Anolis sagrei: one gene and its partner. The protein of the gene in region 1 interacts with the protein of each later gene in a biochemical or structural test. Links are inferred from orthologs where the notes say so. Each region holds a gene or a part of one and is shown on either strand. Other genes may lie near its edges.

Region 1 (3,930 bases):
GATACGGTTTTTGTCAGCAAGGAACCTGAGCGGTCCTCATCATGGACGTTGTCACGGCCATCTTTGAATTGTCGTACCCACTTACACACTTTGCTTTCACTCATAACAGTATCACCGTACACTTCACAAATCTGTCAATGGATTTCTGCAGCAGGAAGGTTCCTTGCTGACAAAAACCGTATCACTGAGCGAACCTCACATGCGGAGGGTGAGTTGATAGTCTTAAACATTTTTAAAGCACAGAACAGAACCATACAGGCTAGCTACTGAGCACAGTTGTTCCCGAGGCATGCGGTATGCGCTCGTTGCGGTATGCGTGCAAACTACTAGTGTCTACAACAAAACGGACCTTACTTAAAAAATACTCCTTGTAGATTATTGTTGTTGGCATTGAATGAATGCCTGTTGTGAAGCCACCCCGAGTCCCCCACTGGGGGTGAGAACCCTGAACGGTTTGGGACCACCCTACCTGCGTGACCGTATCGCTGTCTACGAACCCACACGCTCACTCCGGTCATCTGGAGAGGCCCTGCTCGTGATCCCGCCCGTGTCACAAGCATGCTTGGTGGGGACGCGAGACAGGGCCTTTTCTGTGGTGGCCCCCCGACTCTGGAACGCCCTCCCGAAAGATCTCAGACAAGCCCCTACATTGGCAGTCTTCAGGAAGGAATTGAAAACCTGGCTGTTCCGATGTGCCTTTTCAGATTAGGAACTTCCAGCACCAAATCCTAGAAGCATCTTAGTAGAACCAAGATCACTGCACACTGCACACCGCACTTATATTTAATCCCACATCAGCACTTTTAACCCTGTACCCCTACTTCGGCCGGCCCAGTTTTAATAGTTTCTTGTTGTATTGTTACTGTTATTGTTTTCCTGCTTAACTGTTTTTAATTTGCTTTGGGTATTGTATTGTTGTACTGTGTTTTTGGGGCTTCGGCCTGTGTAAGCCGCATCGAATCCCTTGGGAGATGCTAGTAGGGTATAAATAAAGTTATAATATAATAATAATAATAATAATAATAATAATAATAAGGATGGGATACAAATATACACTCCCCTTGAAGGCGCAGGTTCGCAGCTTGGGTGTGACCCTGGACTCGTCGCTGAGCCTGGATCCCCAGGTTTCAGCGGTGACCAGGGGAGCATTTGCACAGCTTAGACTCGTGCGCCAGCTGCGCCCGTATCTTGGGAAGTCTGACTTGGCCACGGTGGTACACGCTTTGGTCACATCCCGCCTCGACTACTGCAATGCTCTCTACGTGGGGCTGCCCTTGAAGACGGCCCGGAAGCTTCAGCTAGTCCAGCGCGCGGCAGCCATGTTGTTAACAGGAGCAGGGCGCAGGGAGCATACAACGCCCCTGCTGTCCCAGCTCCACTGGCTGCCGATTTGCTACCGGGCCCAATTTAAGGTGCTGGTGTTATCCTACAAAGCCCTAAACGGTTCCGGCCCAAAATACCTTGCAGACCGCATCTCGGCCTACGAGCCCACGAGGACCTTGAGATCATCCGGGGAGGCCCTTCTCTCGGTCCCGCCTGCCTCACAGGCACGCCTGGCGGGGACGAGAGAGCGGGCCTTCTCGGTGGTGGCCCCCCGGCTGTGGAACACCCTCCCTGCTGAAGTTAGACAGGCGCCCTCCCTTATGGCCTTTCGTAGGAGCCTGAAAACATGGCTCTTCGAGCTGGCCTTCAACTGAGTGCCATATCATTGGAAATGACGACCGGAATGGACTATGACTATGAAATCGACTATGACCCCAGGATATGACGAAGCAGATTTTTAGCATAAGTATAAGTTATGTAGTAGTAGATTGTTGTGTACTGTCTTGATTTATTGTAAACTGTCCTTTCTATGTTGTTGTTCACCGCCACGAGTCGCCCTAGGGCTGAGAGTGGCGGTCAATAAGTGCAAGAAATAAATAAATAGATAAATAATAAATAAATTAAATTTAAAAAGCGAGTCCACGCTGCCAGGTAATCTGGGATAAGCAGAAAAGCTGGGATCAGATCCTGGGGTATAGGCCCTGTCTGGAAGGGCCCTCAGAATCAAAGGTGTCACTATCTCAACCAATTTTGGAATGTTTCAGGATTTGGGATGAAGATAGCTCAACCTGTAATGTAAATACAGTAGACCTTATGGCAAAACCTAAAGAAATCTTTCTGAACAGCTGGATTGTGGTAGAATCTTAAATGTAGACTTATATAATATCTATGTCTTCACCACTCACAAGCTGCCATTCTTAAAAGTTCTGGTTTGAGATAATTTCAATAAAAAAAACCTAAGTGTTGAAAAATAAAAGGCGAGGGAGAAGCGGAGCTGGGTAGGGCCCAGCCTGGGTTGGGGTGCCTCTGTGGCCTGCCTGCCTGCCTTCTACTCACCCACGTCCTGGTCGAAGGGGTTCGTCGTGAAGAGCGGCATCTTCTCGAGAGGGGAGAAGGGAATGCAGCGGCCGAGGGAAGCAGGCTCCGTCCGGCCGCCCCTCCGGCCCTGGGGCGAGGAAGGAGGGGAGGACAACCAACGGCAACAAACGCCTCCGCGGAGCGACTGAGGGCGCGAGGCCCCAAGGCGGCTCAAGCTCCGCCCCCAAACGGCCCCCTCCCTCCGTCCCTCCCTTGCTCGCGCTCCTTCGCCTCCCTCTCTCTCAGCAAAGCCAGAGCCGCCTCGAAAACCGGCCTCGCGCTGCATGCCGGGAGAAAAGGAAGTAAAAGGTATTGTCGAAGGCTTTCATGGCCGGAATCACTCAGTTCTTGTGGGTTTTTTCGGGCTATATGGCCATGTTCTAGAGGCATTTCTCCTGACGTTTCGCCTGCATCTATGGCAGGCATCCTCAGAGGTAGAGGTCTGTTGGAATTAGGACAATGGGTTTATATATCTGTGGAATGGCTGGGGTGGGGCAAGGAGCTCTTCCCTGCTGCAGTTAGGTGTGAAGTTTAGCTAATCACCTTCATTAGCATTTGAAGGCCTGCCTGAACCTGGGAAAATCTGTTGCTGGGAGGTGTTAATCTGTGCCTGGTTTCTTCCTCTCTGTTGTTTAGCTGTTATAATTTTAGAGTTCTTTAATACTGGTAGCCAGATTTTGTTCATTTTCATGGTCTCTTCCTTTCTGTTGAAATTGTCCACATGCTTGTGGATTTCAATGGCTTCTCTGTGTAGTCTGACATGGTGGTTGTTTGTGTGGTCCAGCATTTCTGTGTTCTCAAATAATATGCTGTGTCCAGGCTGGTTCATCAGGTGCTCTGCTATGGCTGACTTCTCTGGTTGAAGTAGTCTGCAGTGCCTTTCATGTTCCTTGATGCGTGTCTGGGCGCTGCGTTTGGTGGTCCCTATGTAGACTTGTCCACAGCTGCATGGTATCCGGTAGACTCCTGCAGAGGTGAGAGGATCCCTCTTGTCTGATGAACCAGCCTGGACACAGCATATTATTTGAGAACACAGAAATGCTGGACCACACAAACAACCACCATGTCAGACTACACAGAGAAGCCATTGAAATCCACAAGCATGTGGACAATTTCAACAGAAAGGAAGAGACCATGAAAATGAACAAAATCTGGCTACCAGTATTAAAGAACTCTAAAATTATAACAGCTAAACAACAGAGAGGAAGAAACCAGGCACAGATTAACACCTCCCAGCAACAGATTTTCCCAGGTTCAGGCAGGCCTTCAAATGCTAATGAAGGTGATTAGCTAAACTTCACACCTAACTGCAGCAGGGAAGAGCTCCTTGCCCCACCCCAGCCATTCCACAGATATATAAACCCATTGTCCTAATTCCAACAGACCTCTACCTCTGAGGATGCCTGCCATAGATGCAGGCGAAACGTCAGGAGAAATGCCTCTAGAACATGGCCATATAGCCCGAAAAAACCCACAAGAACGAAGTAAAAGGTGTCCAGCGCACTGCCTGATAAGAAAAGGCAAGTACAT
Region 2 (3,930 bases), on another chromosome or scaffold:
AAGTTCTAGGGCGGAGGGAACAAGCTTGTTTTCCGCTGCCCTGAAGACTAGGACGCAAGGGAACAATGGCTTCAAACTACAAGAGAGGAGATTCCATCTGAACATTAGGAAGAACTTCCTGACTGTGAGAGCTGTTCAGCAGTGGAACTCTCTGCCCCGGAGTGTGGTGGAGGCTCCTTCTTTGGAGGCTTTTAAACAGAGGCTGGATGGCCATCTGTTGGGGGTGCTTTGAATGCAATTTTCCTGCTTCTAGGCAGAATGGGGTTGGACTGGATGGCCCAGGAGGTCTCTTCCAACTCTAGGGTTCTATGAGTCTATTCTATGGAATATGGGAGTCGTAGTTTTGCAAAGACTTAAATCTTCTCTTCCAAAGAGTGCTGTTTCTTCACCAAACTACATCTCCCAAGGTCCATAGCATAGCAATAGCAAGAAGAGGGCTGAAGTTAGCCCATGCCTGGTCTAGACCAAGGGAGGTCATAGTTCCAACTCAATTCTGCTTTGATCAGACCTCCTCATCTGGAGAAACCCTGCTTCCAGCATTTGGATGGATACCATGCCTCAATGCCTCAATGCGATAGCATGATGGGATTTGTAGTTTGGTGAGGCCCCAGCGGGGAAGGTTCAACACCTTGTAAAGCTACAACTCCCAGGATGCTGTCATACACCAGAGCAGGAACACCTCTGACCTTAAGCACCAAACCAGCTTGGTAAAATCAGCCTGAGGCCCCATTCTTTCCCCCTTCATGGGCCAACTTTGGCCCTCCAGGTGTTTTAGACTTCAACTCCCACCATTCCTAACAGCCTCAGGCCCCATCCTTTCCCCCTCAGCCGCTTAAGCAAGGAAAGGAAAGGGCCTGAGGCTGTTAGGAATTGTGGGAGTTGAAGTCCAAAACACCTGGAGGGCCCAAGTTGGACCATGAAGAGGGAAAGGATGGGGCCTGAGGCTGTTAGGAATGGTGGGAGTTGAAGTCCATAAAGACCTGGAGGGCCCAAGTTGGCCCATTAAGGGGGAAAGGATGGGGCCTGAGGCTGTTAGGAATTGTGAGAGTTGTAGTCCAAAAGACCTGGAGGGCCCAAGTTGGCCCATGAAGGGGGAAAGGATGGGGGCTGAGGCTGTTAGGAATTGTGGGAGTTGTAGTCCATAAAGACCTGGAGGGCCCAAGTTGGCCCATGAAGGGGGAAAGGATGGGGGCTGAGGCTGTTGGGAATTGTGGGAGTTGAAGTCCAAAACACCTGGAGGGCCCAAGTCGGGGTTGGCTTGACGCGCCTTCCTCTTGGCACATTTATCTCTTTTGCCCTCCTTCTGCAGCACTGCTGGTCACAGCTGACCTCCAGCTGGAGCGCTCAAGGGCCCAAGTTTGCTCAGGCCTGTCCTTTAGGATCATGGGGTTTGTAGTTTGGCACCTGGTCACCGAAACATAGCAGAGCATGTGCAGAGTGCTTTCGAGATCCTCCATGAACCTAAGACGTGCATCTATCACAGGCATGGGCAAATGTCATCCCTCCGGGCATTTTGGACTTCAGCATCCACAATTCCTAATAGCCGGCTGCTAGGGATTGTGGGTGTCGAAGTCCAAAATGCCCGGAGGGATGAATTTGCCTGTGCCTGATCTCCCTCGTAGAGTTCATAGAACGTAGAATCATAGAATCAAAGAGTTGGAAGAGACCTCATGGGCCATCCAGTCCAACCCCATTCTGCCAAGAAGCAGGAATATTGCATTCAAATCACCCCTGACAGATGGCCATCCAGCCTCTGCTTAAAAGCCTCCAAAGAAGGAGCCTCCACCACACTCCGGGGCAGAGAGTTCCACTGCTGAACGGCTCTCACAGTCAGAGAGTTCTTCCTAATGTTCAGATGCGCCGCAGACAAAGGAAGTTCAGGCAGTTTGACATCATTGTGTCATGCTCAGGGGTCCTATGGCATGAATCCTTTGCAATTCCCCACAAACAGATCCCCACATACCAAAACACCTAGAGGGGCCAAGTTGGCCCATGTCTGCACTAGATGGATACAGTGGACCCATTTGTGCCATTGCAAGAGATTTGAGCCTCTGGAGAGATGCTCACCCATGTGCCCATGCTACCCCTTGCTTACCGCTTCATGACCTCTTCTGTGGCTCTGTTTGTGGGGCCCCCGTCGAGACCTCTGGATCCCCCATGGGCCCCTTTCATGGCAGAAGGGGCCAGCAAACGAGTCGAGACAGGGAAGGCAGGGAAGAAGGCTGAACCTCGCTCGGCTGGACCAGGCGCAACCCTGTGCCTGGCACGATTGTTCCTGTGCCGGCATCACACGCCGTGCGCCAGCCCAGCCCTCTCTCTGCTGCGGCAGCATGGAGCGCACAAGCCGTGTGTTGCAGCGGCTGTCTTTGCTCCAAAAAGGGCTTCCTGAGCATCCCAGGAAGGCAGCGCAAAGGAAGCCCGGCTGCGATGCGCGGTCCAGATGCTTCCCGTAAAACACAGCAGCCCAGCCCTTGCCAAGGACGCATCCCAATGCTCCAAACGGAAAGGCGATGGTGGACGCATCACGGAATCAGCACACGCCTTGCATCTCCTTGCCAGGTTTCCTTGCAGGTCCATTGTCTGCAGCGCATCCTCTCCTTTCCCACACTGTGTCTCACAGGTAATTTGTTTTTCTCTGTATACAGATATATATATATATACACACACACACTAGCCACCCCCTGCCATGCATTGCTGTGGCCCAGTCTGTATATATGTATTTTGTGTGTGTATGTGTTATGGACCCACCCTGGAGGATTATCCTACTCGAACAACGAGGGGTCACCTAAGTAAGTAATGTGTGTGTATATATTTGTGTCTGCATATATATGTGTGTGTGGGTGTATATATGTGTGTGTATATTTGTGTATTTATATTTGTGTGTTTATTGGTTTATATATGTATATGCATCCTACTCGAACGAGAGGTCACCTAAGGAAGTAATGTGTGCTTATATATTTGTGTATATATGTGTGTTTGCATATATATGTGTGTGTGGGTGTATACATGTGTGTGCATATTTGTGTATTTGTGTGTTTATTTGTTTATATATGTATATGCATATTGTGTATTTGTGTGCTTGTCTATATGCATATTTGTGTGTATATATGTGTATGTATATATTTGTGTGCATGTGTATATGCATATACACATGTGTGCATGTATGTGTGCATGTGTATATGTATATGTGTGTATATATGTATATTTGTGTGTGCCTGTGCATATGTATATATGTGTGTATGTGTGTGTATATATGTGTGTATATTTGTATGTTCTTGTGCATATATGTGCGTGTGTATGAATGTGTGCATATGTATATATGTGTGTATGTGTGTATATATGTGTGTATATTTGTATGTGCTTGTGCACATGTGTATATGTATATGTGTTTATATATGTATATTTGTAAGTACATGTACATATGTATATATGTGTGTATATATGTGTGTGTATGAATGTGCACATGTGTATATGTATATGTGTTTATATATGTATATTTGTATGTGCATGTGCATATGTATATATGTGTGTATATTTGTATGTGCTTGTGCATGAATGTGTGTATGAATGTGTGCATATGTGTGTATATATGTGTATATTTGTATGTGCTTGTGCATATATGTGCGCATGTGCATGTGCATGTGTATATGTATATGTGTGCATGTGTATATGTATATGTGTGTATATATGTGTATATTTGTATGTGCTTGTGCATATGTGTGTGTATGAATGTGTGCATGTGTATATGTATGTGTGTATATATGTATATTTGTATGTGCATGTGCATACATATATGTGTGTATATATGTGTATATATTTGTATGTGCTTGTGCATATATGTGTCTGTGTATGAATGTGTGCATATGTATATATGTGTGTATGTGTGTATATGCGTATATTTGTATGTGCTTGTGCATATGTGTGTGTATG

The links.
Region 2: the proteins of STAM (region 1) and ARRB1 form a complex in vitro, tested with the Homo sapiens proteins (2 studies listed by BioGRID). The link is inferred for Anolis sagrei from reciprocal best matches to the Homo sapiens genes STAM and ARRB1.

The regions. Positions count from the first base shown.
Region 1 is NC_090026.1:106,026,773-106,030,702, reverse strand, and holds the start of STAM (signal transducing adapter molecule 1), read right to left. Parts: upstream 2,603-3,930; 5' UTR 2,420-2,602; coding exon 2,380-2,419; intron 1-2,379. UniProt on the Homo sapiens protein: Involved in intracellular signal transduction mediated by cytokines and growth factors. Upon IL-2 and GM-CSL stimulation, it plays a role in signaling leading to DNA synthesis and MYC induction. May also play a role in T-cell development.
Region 2 is NC_090023.1:3,236,036-3,239,965, reverse strand, and holds the start of ARRB1 (beta-arrestin-1), read right to left. Parts: upstream 2,442-3,930; 5' UTR 2,173-2,441; coding exon 2,096-2,172; intron 1-2,095. UniProt on the Homo sapiens protein: Functions in regulating agonist-mediated G-protein coupled receptor (GPCR) signaling by mediating both receptor desensitization and resensitization processes.